Cricetulus griseus: one gene and its partner. Each later gene encodes a partner of the first gene's protein in a complex. Links are inferred from orthologs where the notes say so. Each region holds a gene or a part of one and is shown on either strand. Other genes may lie near its edges.

What was found.
Region 2: Gtf2a1 (region 1) and DNA-directed RNA polymerase II subunit RPB11-a share a complex: the UniProt entries of both Homo sapiens proteins name them as parts of the TBP-based Pol II pre-initiation complex. The link is inferred for Cricetulus griseus from reciprocal best matches to the Homo sapiens genes GTF2A1 and POLR2J.

The regions. Positions count from the first base shown.
Region 1 is NC_048598.1:113,328,485-113,335,890, reverse strand, and holds part of Gtf2a1 (transcription initiation factor IIA subunit 1), read right to left. Parts: intron 7,168-7,406; coding exon 7,100-7,167; intron 5,544-7,099; coding exon 5,468-5,543; intron 3,227-5,467; coding exon 3,093-3,226; intron 2,785-3,092; coding exon 2,464-2,784; intron 1-2,463. UniProt on the Homo sapiens protein: TFIIA is a component of the transcription machinery of RNA polymerase II and plays an important role in transcriptional activation. TFIIA in a complex with TBP mediates transcriptional activity.
Region 2 is NC_048597.1:115,109,016-115,116,992, forward strand, and holds the start of DNA-directed RNA polymerase II subunit RPB11-a, read left to right. Parts: upstream 1-3,440; 5' UTR 3,441-3,544; coding exon 3,545-3,597; intron 3,598-5,195; coding exon 5,196-5,285; intron 5,286-7,049; exon of another isoform or gene 7,050-7,180; coding exon 7,181-7,355; exon of another isoform or gene 7,356-7,874; coding exon 7,875-7,910; 3' UTR 7,911-7,977. UniProt on the Homo sapiens protein: Core component of RNA polymerase II (Pol II), a DNA-dependent RNA polymerase which synthesizes mRNA precursors and many functional non-coding RNAs using the four ribonucleoside triphosphates as substrates.

The sequences.
Region 1 (7,406 bases):
CTCAGGCACACGGACACAAACTGGCATCAGCCCGGGTCTAGCAGTTACAGAGAGAACAACGTTCAGTGACCAAGCTGGGTCCTATTGGGAACTCAAGACTGGTTTGCATATTAAGACCAATCAATGAAATTCATATATGACAGTCTGAATAAGATTCTCTGACTATCTAATGGTTGCAGAAAAACATTTAATAATAAAATACATTTCCTTATAGTTTAAAAAAAAAAGCAAAGAACTTAGTTAATTACAAAGAGAGTGAATTCTTTCAGACCTAAAAGACATCCACAGAAAACAACAATAAATATACTTAATAACAGACCATTAAAAGAAGATCCATCTATATGGAAAACAAAAGAATCAACAAAGGCATTAATACAAAAGGCATCAGGCTGGCTCAGTGGTGAGTATTAGAAGTTCTATACTACACATATGTATAACATGAGCAAGCAGGAGAAACGTAATGCAATGTCACTTGGGGAAGGATCAAAACCTTGGGAAAGGGCTAAAGACAATGCAAAGTAAGTACTTCCACATAATAAAAACACAAGAAAATACAAACAACAAGTAAATACATGAAAAGGGGCTGAAGCTCCTAAAGCATTCAAGAAGTTCAAACTAAAACCAAACCAAGACACAATTTTCTACCAGACTGGAAAAATTCAACAGTCTGCCAATATTAAGAAGTGATGACATGTTGACATCTACAAATTATAGACAAAAATGGCAGAATAGAGTCAGTGCAGTAAGTTGGCAAATCCATGTTCATGTATAATACTGAAGAGAAATACACAGGAGTTCCCAGAACACATTTAAGAATATTTTAGAATGCAGTAAAGAATTAGAAGTCACCCACATGTTCAATGGATCCAAAAAAGGATAATCAAATAATGGTACAGTCAACAGTAAAAATAACTAGTTATATGCAACAACCTGACTGAACCTCAGGACTACCATTTTAAGAAAAAATAACAGAAGCTACATTAAAAATATTGCACTTATACTATTCACGCAGCATACCTTTGGAAATATAAACATACATTGAAATACAAAGACAAGTTGATCATACAGTCTGGTGCAGATGCTTTGAAAGCAGAAGGAAGAGATGTGTCAGGGAAGAGACACCAAAACATTTTAGTAATGGAAAACAGTTTCACCTCACTGGTGCATGCCAGGATAGCCATAGTTTAAAATATTCTAGCCACTTTGATTCCTCAGATATTTAATAAACTATCTTTAACTATTTAGAAGAAAAAAATGTTTAGGCCTATAAAATGGCTCACATCTATAATACTTGGGAGGCTGAACCAGGAGGCTTGCCACAAGCTCAAGGCCAATATGGGCTATATAATGAGTTCCAGACCTGCAGCCTAGACTACAGTGTGAAACTCTCAAAAACAAAACAAAACAAAACAAAAACACCAAAATAATAAATGAATACACTTAGTGGAGCCCATTCTATACCGAGAGATACCACGCCAGCTTAGACCCAGGGGTGGGGGGTGGAGAGGTGCCTTGGTCCTGCCTCAACAAGATGATGGGGCAGACTTAGTAGACTTCCTAGGGGAGGCCTTACCCTCTCCATGGAACAGATGGGAAGAGGGGGGAGTGGAGGGAGTGGGAGGAAAGGAGGGAGGAGAAACTGGGATTGGGATTTAAAAAATTTTAAAAAAAGAAACCTTAAAAATAATAATAAATGAATACAAATCAGTAAAACGAAACAGAATTTTGTATTAAGATTTAAAAGAAAAATGATTCCATTTTATCACAAAGCAATTAATCATGAAAATTACAGTGGGCCAAATCATCACCTTGGACATAGTAACTATGCTGAAAAACTGGTGACACCATGTTCACAGGCATCAAGAAAAAGTCATGAAGATGAGATTACTGAGGACCTGGTACAGAATGGGCCAAAAGATGGTTTGGGCTTGAGCTGTCACATTCAGTTATTCTCCACTTTCCTCTCTCCCCAAACAATGCCATGCCTTTTTAATCACTAAAACACAAGATCAATCCTATTCATCTGCTCTACCACTATCTTATGGTTAAGCCACCACATTATGAATAATAACAAGAAATTTGATCTGTACTATCCCTATTAATATAATTTCCATTTGATATACATACCTTTTAAAAAAAGGGAGCCTGTGGTAGTTGCTGTTAATATCAACCTAACAGGACCTATAACAGCCTAGGAGACAGCCCTCTAGGCCATGTATGAGGGATGGATAATCTAGTTCCTGAGGATGCCTATGATGGACTGTGATGGTGTGGTTACTGAGGTAGAAGAACCATACTCAGAGTGGGTGATATACTCCCTGAGTTTGGGGGAGAGAAAGCTAGCTGAGTCCAAGCATCCACCTCTCTGAAGAAATAGCATATTAATTTGTCTGTTTAGCCCTAAATACAACAATAAATGATGAGGGGCTTCTCTTTTCAAGTCTCTTTTTACTAGAAACTTACTTCTTCTACCTGCCCATCTTCAGCTCCATCTTTCTCTTTATCTTCCTCCTCATCATCATCATAGTCTTCTTCCTCATCTTCATCTTCCTCAGATGACGTATCCCCTGTTCCATCAACTTGCAGCACCAATGGGGCTTGCTGTTGAGCAGGCTGGGCCTGTGGCTGCTGCTGGCCAGCGGCAGGTATCTGCGCTTGTGCTGGTGTGGGTGCTGCCACTGTAGTAGGGATGACCTGAGTCTTATTTCCTGTAAATAAGATTTGCTGTGGCTGGATGATGACACCTGTCTGTGGTGAAATCCCTCCAGGAAGTGGGGCCAAGACCTAGGGCAAACAAAACCACCTATTAGGAACTAGTAAGAGGGATCAAGAAGCCAGAAACAAATAATAATTCAGTTTTAAACATGAGAGATGTAACTTGCTTGGAGGCCTAATAATGATAATGATGATTATAATTATAATAATAGTAATAACAACAATTGAGAATAAGATTGTTTTGACTATTGTGTATGTAAACTTGAGGGGGAAAAGGGTAGGGAACCACATGATAAATTCATACAGTTATAGCAGCAGCAGCAGCAGCAGCAGCAAGAGCAGCAGCTGGATCCCAGGGGATGGTAACAATTCTTTACCTGCTGGATAACAGGAGCCTGTACTCCACCAGGCTGCATCTGTGGTATAACTTGTTGTTGTAGAACAACTGACTGCTGAGGTTGAAAGATATATTGGGCACCATTGGCTGCTCGGACCACCTGAAGAAGCTGACCTAAGGCAAAAAAAAAAAAAAAAAAAAAAAAAAGAATATAGACCAAGTTGCTATTTCAGCAGCAATTAATACACAAGGAAATGAGTTTATGTTGCTTTCAAGCCAAAGAACCAAAATATTTACCAAATTAGAAGACTAACTATTTTACTAAGGGCTATCAACTATACATGATAAACTACAACCACTATAGTTCCCAATTTCCCTCTATGTCCAAATGTTTTCCCATATTTATTATCTTCATTAGCTTTTTTTTTTTTTTTTTACATGCATTGGTGTTTTACCTGCATGTATGTCTGTGTGAAGGTGTTGGATCCCCTAGAACTGGAGTTACAGACAGTTGTGAGCTGTCAGGTGGGTGCTGAGAATTGAACCCAGGTCCTCTGGAAGAACAGGCAGTGCTATTAACCGCTAAGCCACTCTCCAGCCCCTTCTTTAGCTTATTACCAATAAAGCTTTAACAACAGGTTGTAAAATTTGATTAAGAGACTATCGAAGTAACTCAGCAGTTACAAGCACTAGATGCTCTCCCAGAGAACGGAGGTTCCATTCCCAGCACCCACATGGTGGCTGACAGCCAGCTCTAACTCCGGTTCTAGGGAATGTGGTGGCCTCTTCTAGACTCCCAAGGAACTACAAGCATGTGATGCACAAACAAGCAGGTAAAATAGCCACACAAAATTAAAAGACTTAAAGATTGCCTTAATTACTTTTTCTCACATGATAACAGTCAAGAAAGTGTAGTAAACAGTATTAGAAAGCCAGGCGTTGGTGGCGCACACCTTTAATCCCAGCACTTGGGAGGCAGAGGCAGACACAAAGGTATAACATTTTGTTTGTATCTTAAACCAAAGCACAGGGCTTTGCTTCAAATTTTCAACAAGCAATGAAAATTTGCTAAAACAATTAGAACTGCTGTAATTATGAATAATATATAATACACAGAATAGCCTCATATACTTCCAAAAGAAGACAAAGCCCTAGGCTGGCAGTGGTGGCGCACAACTTTAATCTCAGCACTTGGGAGGTAGAGGCAGGCTAATCTCCATGAGTTCGAGGCCAGCCTGATCTACAGAGCGAATTCCATGAAGGCTCCAAAGCTGCAGAGAAACCCTGTCTCGAAAAACCAAAAAATAAATAGATAGATAGATAGATAGATAAATAAATAAATAAATAAATAAATAAATAAATGAGGGCAAAGCCCTAATTGGTTCTGCACAAATTTAGAAATTACAGACAATCAATCAATAAATAATATAAAGATCAGGCTATATAACAGTCTATTTAAGTGTTCCAAAGATAAGATGGAAATATGTATTTGGCATAACTGCAAAGACAGTACATTCTCTAAAAGTACACAATGAATCAGCTCTTCAGGTCCTGTGGAATTTAATTTGATCATCACAAATTAATTCAAATATTTCATTTAGCAAAACAGATGCTTTGTTTAAAAAAAAAAAAAAAAAAAGCCAATCTCAGAAAATAACCATATCTCTGTAATCCCACTTAGGCAGGGTTCTCATTCACAGAACAAAAGATCCATTAAAAATTTTTTTTTTTAAATTCCTGTTTTAATTTTTTTTTTCAAGATTGATTTATTTATTATGTATACAGCATGCTGTCTGCATATATGCCTGCAGGCCAGAAGAGGGCAACAGATCTCATTACAGAAGGTTGTGAGCCACCATGTGGTTGCTGGGAATTGAACTCGGGACCTCTGGAAGAGCAGCGCCTGCTCTTAACCTCTGAGCCATCTCTCCAGCCCAATTTTAGATTTTTTTTTTTTTTTTTTTTTGTTTTTCGAGACAGGGTTTCTCTGTGTAGCTTTGGAGCCTATTCAGGCACTCGCTCTGGAGACCAGGCTGGCCTCGAACTCAGAGATCTGCCTGTCTCTGCCTCCCGAGTGCTGGGATTAAAGGCGTGCGCCACCAACACCTTTTTTTTTCTTTTTTGAATCAGGGTTTCAGTTGGGCTCAAACTCATTATGAAACCTAGGATGGCATTGAACATCTGATCCCGCCTCCAAATCCCAACTGCTGCGATTATGTGTGCTACCACACACCTGGCTACAACTTTGATTTTTTCAATTATACCCTCAACAAAGACTACAATTCTATATCCTATAGCCCTCAAATGATCTTAACAAGCGTCAGTACTGCCTCCCTTCAGTGACAATAAAACATTAAGAGCTACTTGGTGTTAGTTTCTGAACAATATTTAAGCCGCTTTCCTTGTTCTGATTACCTGAATTTGTTAGTATCTGCTGAACGGGAGTCACGCCTGCAGGGAGGGCCAAGGTGGCAGCCGTAGCAGCAGCACTCTGCAAGAAGAAAAACAAAGGGAAAGTCGTATCTACGAGTGCGCGCCAAGTAGACCTCAGTTTATCTGTAGTGTACTTTACAGCGCATGGAGAACTGACTGAAAGGCACTCGAACAACAGGGTGCGCTCATGTGGCAAGAGAGCCTAAATAACCTATTCAAGTCTTTCAAGAAATTGTAAGTCTAATGGTCTGGCTCCCCTAAAGAACTTACTCTAAGCAACCTCCTGATTCAAGCTCTCACAGACTCAGTATGTTTTTAGAAATACATGCACTCACAGTAAAGTTGTACCGTGAGGACACCATTCCATGACTGCCATCCTTCCACTGTTTGGTTCCTTACACCCAATTTCCTGCTTCAATAATATACTTAAGGCCAAAGTCAAGCCATCCTTGTTTCTTCATTTTTACATTTCTCCCAAAATCAACAGGTCTCCCCCTAAAAGACAATCTGAAGAATTCCTTGGTTTCTATAACTGGCAATTTTTCTAAGATGCCACATTATCTAAAAGGAGCATGAACACACTGACACAACAATCTAGGTAAAATATGTAATGAGATGAGTGTTTCTTATCCAAAAGTTTCAGAACTATCTCAAACATCAGATATTTTCCCCGGATTTAAAATACTTGTGTGTATATGCGTGCATGCGCACTCGCACACACACACACTCTCTACCTTGTATATGTGAACCCAAAGGTCTATTGATGGTATTTTTCCTGCATACATTGATACAAATCCTGGATATAATTTCGCATTTTAGTAACTCGTCGGCTTTTTCTTTTCTTTTTCTGAGTGCAGTCTTGTATGTCTGTATGTCTCTCTAGTCTGTAACTTACTGCCCAGACAGGCTGGTCTTCAACATCAAGTCAGTCTCCTGCCTCTGTCTCCTGAGTACTGGGGATCACAAGTGCATACCAACCTGCTTAGTCTTGTTTTGCATTTTAAGGTATGAATTTAGAGATTACAGGAAAACAAACTGTGCATTATGTTTAAGTCAGAGCAAAGATTCTTTTAAACATGAAACTTTAGAAACAGTGTCCTTGAAAAGCCACATGCTGTGTGTGCATGGGCAACACAGCTGGATTTGATGGTTTAGAGAAACAAAACAGAAGACACAAACTTGGGTTGGCAGGTAAAAGATAAGGGGTGGATCTGGGAAGAGTTGGAGTAGGGGGGTGAATATAAATAAAATACATATGAAATTTTCAAATAACTAATAAAATTTAAAAAAAAAATGGCTTTCCTGGATTGTTAGCATTCCCCTCCTCTTACAACTAACTAACTTTCTGAAACAGAAGGTGTCAGTATATGCTTGGCTGATTCCCTACAGCTATAAAGTATTGACCACAAAGAGTATTTGGTATTAAGGAAAAAATTACATAATTGTATGAACTTTAATGTTTAAGATTAAGCTACACTTTAGATTTGTGGCTAACAGCTATTTTGCTCAAATCTTCCATAATCCTCAAACTGTTAAATACAATACACATAGGAATAATTGCAATTTTTAAGTTAAATAACTGAAGCCAATGTAAGTGTCATGTTCAAGTCTTACCGTAATACTTGATGCATTCATATGTTGTATCAACTTAGAATCAGGAACAATAACTTGTGGTGCCGTAGCTACAAATAGACAAAGAAAAAAAAAAGATATTTGTAAACAAGGAACCATGAGGACACTTCACAGTCACAGTAATACTATAAAATGCCAAACACTTTTTACTTTTTTCATGCTTCTGTTGTGTTTCTACATTAAAATACTCTCAGACTATTTTCTATTTCAGAAGTTTTTAAATTTTTCTATGGAAATCAACAGCTGAGATATATTCATTTTATATTGAAAAACATTAAAATGACAATAC
Region 2 (7,977 bases), on another chromosome or scaffold:
ACCCAACCCTGGGAAGCGTGGAACCAGGAGACCAGGTTGCCCACCTTGCACTGCCTCCCTGCCGGCCACCATATCAGCCCTGCCACTATCTGACCCCTCTGTGTTGGGTGTCTTGGTGCTCTGCTGTCATTAATAAACCTGCCGTGACTGCTGAGGCTCTGAGAAAGAGTGAATCCAGGGGACCCTTGATGGGGCTGGGGTTTGACCAAGGACTAGGGCCACCAGCATGTCCTCTCTGCAGTGCCTTCCCTTGTTAGTTGTTTAAACTCCCAACTGCAGCCCCAGTACTGCTCCCCACACTCCTCCATCCTATAAGCTTGGAGCCTGATGACTCTTTCCAGCTGGAAGCAGCCACCGCACAGAGCCCCTGTGCTTGGGTGTCCTTCCAGACCACACAGCAGAGCAGAGCTGGGTCACAGTGTCCCTGTCCATCTTCTAAGGGATAGCAGGTCACATTGCCTGTGACTCTGCTCAGGATTGGAGAGGGGTGTGGGACTGTGATGGGAAGTTGATTGGGAGTGGGGTGAGTAGGACGTGAGTGGGTAGCCCTCCTGTCACGTCCTTCCTTTCCTCAGGACACCCAGGCCACATGTTGTGTTTCCATGGCTGAAGCTTTCGGGTGTAGCGTGGGCAGGGCCTTCAGGCTTTTGAAGAAAGAGCCTAGGAGGTATTTATCTAGACTAGCAGCTCTCAAACTATGGGTGGCGACCTCTGGGGGTTGAATGACACCTTCACAGGGGTCTCCTAAGACCATCGGAAATATCAGATATTTACATTATGATTCGTAATAGTAGAAAAATTAGTTATGAAATAGCAATGAAAATAATTTTACAGTTGGGGGGTCACCACAACATGAGGAACTGTGTTAAAGGGTCCAGCATCTGGAAGGTGGTTGAGAACCACTGGTCTAGACAGATTCAACCGAGGTCTTCACTCCCAGGATGCATCTAAATGAGAATCCTCTCCACAGCCACGCCCCCTGGCTGCAGTTCTGCTCTTGCCACACAGGGAAGAACAGAGGGCATTCAGCTCCTAATTCAAGCTGTGTGTAATTCGTATTTTTCCCCGGAAGAGTTAAGACAGGATTTGTCTTATAGCCTCAAATTCATTATATAGCCAAGGATGACCTTAAAATCTTGATTTTAGCCGGGTGTTGGTGGCGCACGCCTTTAATCCCAGCACTTGGGAGGCAGAGGCAGGCAGATCTCTGTGAGTTCGAGGCCAGCCTGGTCTCCAGAGCAAGTGCCAGGATAGGCTCCAAAGCTACACAGAGAAACCTTATCTCAACCCCCCCCCCAAAAAAAAGGAGAAGAAAAAAAAGAAAGAAATCCTGATCTTCCTGCCTCCACCTCCAAGTTCTGGGGTTACAGGTATGAGCCCTGCAGAGTTTGTGTAGAGGTGGGCATTAAACCTAAGGCTCCATGTGGATGCAGCAAGCACTTTGCAAGAGAGCCACACCTCTAGCCCCTTTATTTCTGAGACAGTGTCTCTTGTGGTCCAGGCTGGCCTCAAACTCAACTCTCTAGCTGAGGATGGCCTTGAACTCCTGATCCTCCTGACTCCATCCCCACAGTGTTGACATTACAGGTCTGAGCCACCACACCTGAATTTAAAGCATATGCTCAAAATTGCACTTGGGCTGGCGGTGCAGTTCAGTGGTAGGACACTTGCCTGGCTGGCGGTGCAGTTCAGTGGTAGGACACTTGCCTGGCATACATAAGGCCCTACGTCATAAACGGTTCGACCAACACAAACAATAATTAAGTGGTACTGGTCAAGGCATGGCCTGATTTCTCATTGTCTCAGCTCTGGTTTGAAGAGTCAAGCTCCTTCCCATGAGATAACTCCTCCTCCTCATGGGGTAATCTGCCTTCAAAGCTCTGCTTTTCCTAGAATCAAAGGTGACTACAAGCTTAGGGCTGTGACTGGAGAACCTTGGATGACTTCCTGCTCTTCCTCCCCCTTCTTCTTCTGAGTTTGAAAGGAGACATAAAAGCCGAGGAAGATGCCTGCATTATCTTTGTGCCTTCTGCCTTGAAGGAGGATGAGCTGGGCTAGGTATCAATGGTCCTTAGGTAGACACTCCAGGGATAACAAGTCAATATGCAGAGCAAGGGGGAGCATGATGTGATTGGTGTTTGAAGGGTTCCAAAGCCCTCTGGCACCTGGCATTGTCTTCACTTGTCCCCTGGTGGCACTGCCATCTTCCATGTTATACAGTGAAGTTTTAGTGCTCATGTACCAATGGCTAGGCTGGCTCATACCTGTTACTCCAAAGACTAGGAGACTGAGTTATTGTTCCTGTTGCTGTGTCTACAAACCCGACAGAAGCATCCTCAGGAAGGGTTGGGATGTCATAGCAACAGGAGTGCCAGGCAGCTGATCACATTGCCACCTGCATCCAGGAAGCAGAACAAGATGGTTTCCTTTCCTCTTTTATTCAGTCTGAGGGCTTAGCCTCTAGGATGGCATCATGCACGTGGTGAGTCCTTAATGGTGAGTCCTTAATGGTGAGTCCTTCCTTCCTCAGTTAAACCTGTCTAGAATCTCACCAACACACTCAGAAGTTTTTGTTTTGTTTTGTTTGTATATACATTGTGTGTACACAGGGAGGTCAGAGGAATTGGTTCTCAACTTCTCCCACATGGGTCCTGGGGATTGAACTCATGTAGTCAGGCTTGGTGACACTATCTTTACCCACTGGACTGTCCTGCTGGCCCACTTGTCTGTTTCCACAATGATACTAAATCTCATCAGGTTGACAAAATGAACCATCATGGAGGCTGGAGAAATAGCTCAGCAGTTAAAGACTGACTACTCTTTCAGGACTAGAGTTGGGTTCCCAGCACCTCCAAGGCTGGTCTCCAAAGGCTCCTGTATGTACGTTCTGCACAGACAGGCAGATAGAAATCTTTAAAAATAGGAAAAATAGCCACAATAGCCACAAAGACGGCTGAAAAGCAGAGAGGTGCCAGGCTGTCATTGTTTTTTGGTTACCTGTGTGTCCAACAGAGGATCCGCTGGCACCCTGTCACTTTTACACACCTTCCTGCTCCTCATCCAGCCAGCCGGGGTCCTGCAGCAGCAGCTCATACACATACACAGCTTGGATTCCAGCTCAGTGAGCCAGTTGCAGGTGGCCCAGCCTTCCCTCGCTGGAATATGCGCCAAAGAGCCGCCTGGTGAAAGCCACTTTTTTTTTTTTCTTTTTGTTTGTTTTGTTTTCAAGACAGGGTTTCTCTGTGTTGTTTTGAAGCCTATCCTGGCACTCACTCTGTAGACTAGGCTGTCCTCGAAACCACAGAGATCCGCTTGGCTCTGCCTCCTGTGCTGGGAGGTGCTGCCCCTGGGGTTTGGACAGGATTTCTAACCTGCTCCGCCTCGCCTGCTCGTGCCTGCCGAAGGTCATCCGGTCCACCAGGGGGCGCGGGGCCAGGGGCTTTGATTGGCTGTGTCCTCGTGACCCGGAAGTGGTCGCGGTCCGGAGCTCAGTGTGGTAACGGCGGCTGCGGCTTGAGTCTGGGAGCCGGAGCGCACCTCTAGGATGAACGCTCCTCCGGCCTTCGAGTCGTTCTTGCTCTTCGAGGGCGAGAAGAAGTAAGTGGAGGCCGTTAGCTCTGGCGCGGTGAGCACTGTGCTTCGTGCGCGTCTGCCGAACTTCAGGCGGTGGTGCGATGTACGCCTGTGTTACAGCGGGGAAACTGAGGCCGGGGCACGTCGAGCCCTTGCTCCAGACACTTAGGAAGTGTCGGGGACTGTATTCGAACTCAGAGTGTCAGGCTCCCTTTTCACTGGTCTGCAGCCCCATTATCCATGCTGCGCAGCGATGGCTTTAGAGCTCACCCCCCTGCATAGGGTGCGATCGCCTGTGATTCCAGGACTTGGCGACTGAGGCAGGAGGATAATGATGGTAGCGGTGAAGGGACCGAGACACAGCTACCCTCTCACACTCCTCAGCAGCCTGAGGATTTCCTCTAGATTTTCAGGGATCTCGGCCAAACTCAGGTTCGTGGCTTCAACACTAGAAAGAATTTCAGGACTCGACGGTTTAATGACGCACTCAGGAGGCACAGGCAGACGGATCTCTGAGTTCAAGGCCAGCCTGGTCTATAGAGGTAGTTCCAGGACCAAGAGAAATCCCGTTCTGAAAAAGAAAAAAGGAGCAATCCTGTGTGGGAAAGGGTCCTTGGTGTGTATAGATAAGGTGCCATCACGGAGTAGAGAAGGTTCCTTGTTTTTTTGTTTTGGTCATGCTGGGGACTGGACCCAGGGTCTGGCCCATGCTAGGTTACTGCTCTATCAATAAGCTACACTCGAGCTTTTTTTTTTTTTTTGTAGTTTTCTTTTGGTTTTTCAAAACAGGGTTTCCTCTGTGTTGCTCTGGCTGTCCTGGAACTCGCTCTGTAGTGCAGGCTGGCTTCGAAGTCACAGAGATCCTCCTGCCTCTGCCTCCCAAGCGCTGGATCAAAGGTGTGCTCCACCACTGCCTGGCTCACTCCAGCTCCCCCTGCCCAACATTTGCTAGGCTGGGGAGATGGCTCAGTGGGTCACAGCTCAAAGCATTTGCTGAGGATTGGTGTGGATCTCCAGAAGCCGTGTCAAAGCTGTGCAATGTGCCTACTTCATTGCTCCTCCAGGGACGTGGAAGTGTAGATAGGAGTCAGCCAGCATGGTCTGTCAAGGAAGGCAAGGATGACAGTGTTTTTCTCTGCCCTCCTGCCCCCGTCACTGGGATTACTAGTCCCAGTGACTAGTCCCAGCAGGCCTACCTTGCTTGTTTTGTTTGGAGGGGGAGTGAGTGGTAGGATGAAACCCAGAGCCTTAAAAATTTGAGATAAATGGTGACCCATTGAACCATGCCAGAGCTCTCAGAGAGCCCTTTGGGGCGAGCAGACTGGGGATAGTGGGACTTGCAGAATGATGGCCTCCCTTGAATTGTTAGGGGGTTTGGAGACAAGCTGTTTTCTGTCTTCTAGGAAAGAATTTAGTCAAGAGCTAGTTTAAGACAACCAATTTGTATGAGGGAAAGAGCTGGATGTTTTTGTTTCTGGGGTAGTGGGAACAGCCCAACTGCAGTTTCTAGAATGTTTGATCACAAAGGGGACACCGATTTGAGAATCAGTGTCAGCATCACAAGAGCTGGATGTGGGGCCAGGGAAAGCTATCACCCTCAGCCTTTGCCTGTCTCATTGTAGAATCACCATTAACAAGGACACAAAGGTGCCCAATGCTTGCCTGTTCACCATCAACAAAGAAGACCACACTCTGGGGAACATCATCAAATCGTAAGTCCCAGGCCAGAGGCCTCGAGTGTCACCAGAGCTCTGTAGGCTGAGCACATGCCCTGGGACGGTTCCTTCCGTCTCTCCGCAGCTTGCTGGCACTTTAACCTGTCACTGACAGGTCTGTTCACATGCGGCTTGCTTTTGTTGGCTTTTTGATGTAGGGGTTCATGTAGTGTAGACTGGACTCAAACTGACTCACCTTACCATGGTTGCCGGGATCCTGGCCACGTAACACGTAACACATCAGCTTCCTGTTGGCTCATTCATGTAGTGTATAAGTTTGCAGTTGCCTCTTGGTCTTTTGGCCAAGATCAAGTTCAGGGGACTCCAGCAAAGCAGGTTTTCATTTTAGTGGGCATCAAGATGCTAAGAGGTGATGGGTATGGTGGTACACACCTGTAATTCCAGCACTCGGGAGGCAGAGGCAGATGGAGTACTTGTGAGTTCAGAGCCAGCCTGGTCTACATAGTAAGCTCTAGGACAGCCAGTTACATACAGTATCTCAAAAAGATAAAGCAAAGGGGGCCAGCAGTGTCACCTCACTTACCCCTACATTTGATAGAAAGCTGCAGGCATCGGCAGATTACCAAACTTTTGTTACTGGGTGATTGCCAGTGCTTTCAGAGCTGGGGGGGTGACAGACGGTCCCCACCTGACATGAGTGCTGGGAATTGACTCTGGCTCCTCTCCAAGAGCAATACTTTCTTTAAATTTAAAACACCTTTTGCCTATGTATGTCTACCGTGTGTCTGTTACCCATGAAGGTCAGAAAGAACTAGATCCCTTGGAGCTGGAGGTACAGGTGGTTAGATGCCACATGGGTGCTGGAAACCTTTTAACTAATCCAGTTCTCCAGCCTTCCCTGCATGTAATGTGCTGGGTCTGGTGGTTTGTGCCTTTAACCACAGCAGGCAGATCTCTGTAAGTTCAAAGCCAGCTTGGCCTACATTGAGTTCCAGGATAGCCAGGACTGTTAAGGAAACCCTGTCTGGAAAAACCAAAAAATATATTGTGAATGTAGTGTCTGAGTAGGGCTAGAAGAGGGTGTTGGATCCGTGGAGCTGGAGTTGTGAATTGTGTGCCACCTGCCGGAGGCACTGGAAACCAAATGCAGATTCTCTAAGGAGCAATAGGTGCTCCACCACTGTGCTGTTTTTCTCTAGCCCAACCTGTAACTCTTGTATGGGTATGTTTTTCTACACATGTCTGTATAACATATGGTGCCCTTGCATGCCATAAGAGGATGTTGGAGACCCCAGGACTGGAGTTGTGAGCCACCATGTGGCTGCTGGGAATTAGATCAAGGTCCTTTAGAGAAACAGCCAGTTCTCTTAACTGCTGAGCCATCGCGCCGACCTCCCATCCTACAACTCTTCAGTTATATAAGGCAGGGGCCAGTTAGAGCCCATGACGTTAGGCTCTCCACTTCCCTCAGCTTTGTGGAAAGGGGCCCTGTATATGAACAGCCACCTGGGGACTGTCAAGAGCCTGGCCCTGTTCTTCTTCCCACTGCTACCTGCTTGCTGTACCTAGAAATGGGGCCTTGTATTCTGGCTACTTCAACCCTGGCCAGATGTTTTGGCCTAGGTACAGTCCACAGCCACTGTCATAGGTTCTCAACTTCTATGAAGGATGCCACCCCAGCTAGGGTCCTTGATCTTGTAGTCAGCAGGGTTCCTTCCCATATGGTCTTAGGTCCCCTTAACTTGATTCCCTCCCCCAGTGCTGGGAGGAACCTCTAGCATGTAGACACGCACTCTACCATTAAGCTGCATCCCCAGTCCTTTATTTTTTAAATTGTTCTCACTAAATTGGGTAGGCTGGCCTTGAACTTAGTATTCCTGAGCAGCTGGATTGCCAGGCCTGATCTCCCTCACAGTACACCTGTTTCTCAGCCAGCTGTTGAAGGACCCACAGGTGCTGTTTGCTGGCTACAAAGTCCCCCACCCCTTGGAGCACAAGATCATCATTCGTGTGCAGACCACTCCAGACTACAGTCCTCAGGAGGCCTTCACCAATGCCATCACAGACCTCATCAGTGAGCTCTCTCTGCTGGAGGAACGATTCCGGGTAAGCAGCTGGGCAGGGACTTGTGAATTGTGTTGATTCAGCAGCAGAGCTGGCCCCGTCCCCAACTAGCATCCCCCAATCAGGGTCCGAGACATAACTTAGTGGTACATTGTTTGCCTAGCACAATCAAGGCCTTAGGTACCATCTTCAGCATCAAAAACCATAACCAAAATCTCTCCCCTTTGCCACTGGCTCTTCTGGCTCATAAGGCTTCTGAGACTCCTGAGGGAATCTTCATCCCAGGATGGGAGTCGCAGTTATTGGTCAGGGACCCTCACCTTTTGAGATTTTCATCTCACTTGGCTCCATCCCTAGCCCTCAGCAAACAGGTGCCTCAGAGCAGGGAAGGTGGAACCTGCTGAAGCACCTGCACCCTGGAGCCTTTGGGTACTGGTCTGCCTTGTGTGATAGTCTCTGGAGAACTTCTAGAAGGACTGCAGTGCCAGGTTCCTGGTGCCACACAAGCAGGGGATACTGGGGTCATTCCATGTAGTCACTGCCATTGTCCTTCCTCTTCAGGTGGCCATCAAGGACAAGCAAGAAGGAATTGAGTAGCAGCTAAAAGGAGCATTGCTTAATGGCTGGAAGGCTGGTGCACACACCCTCAGGCTCCTTTCAGTAT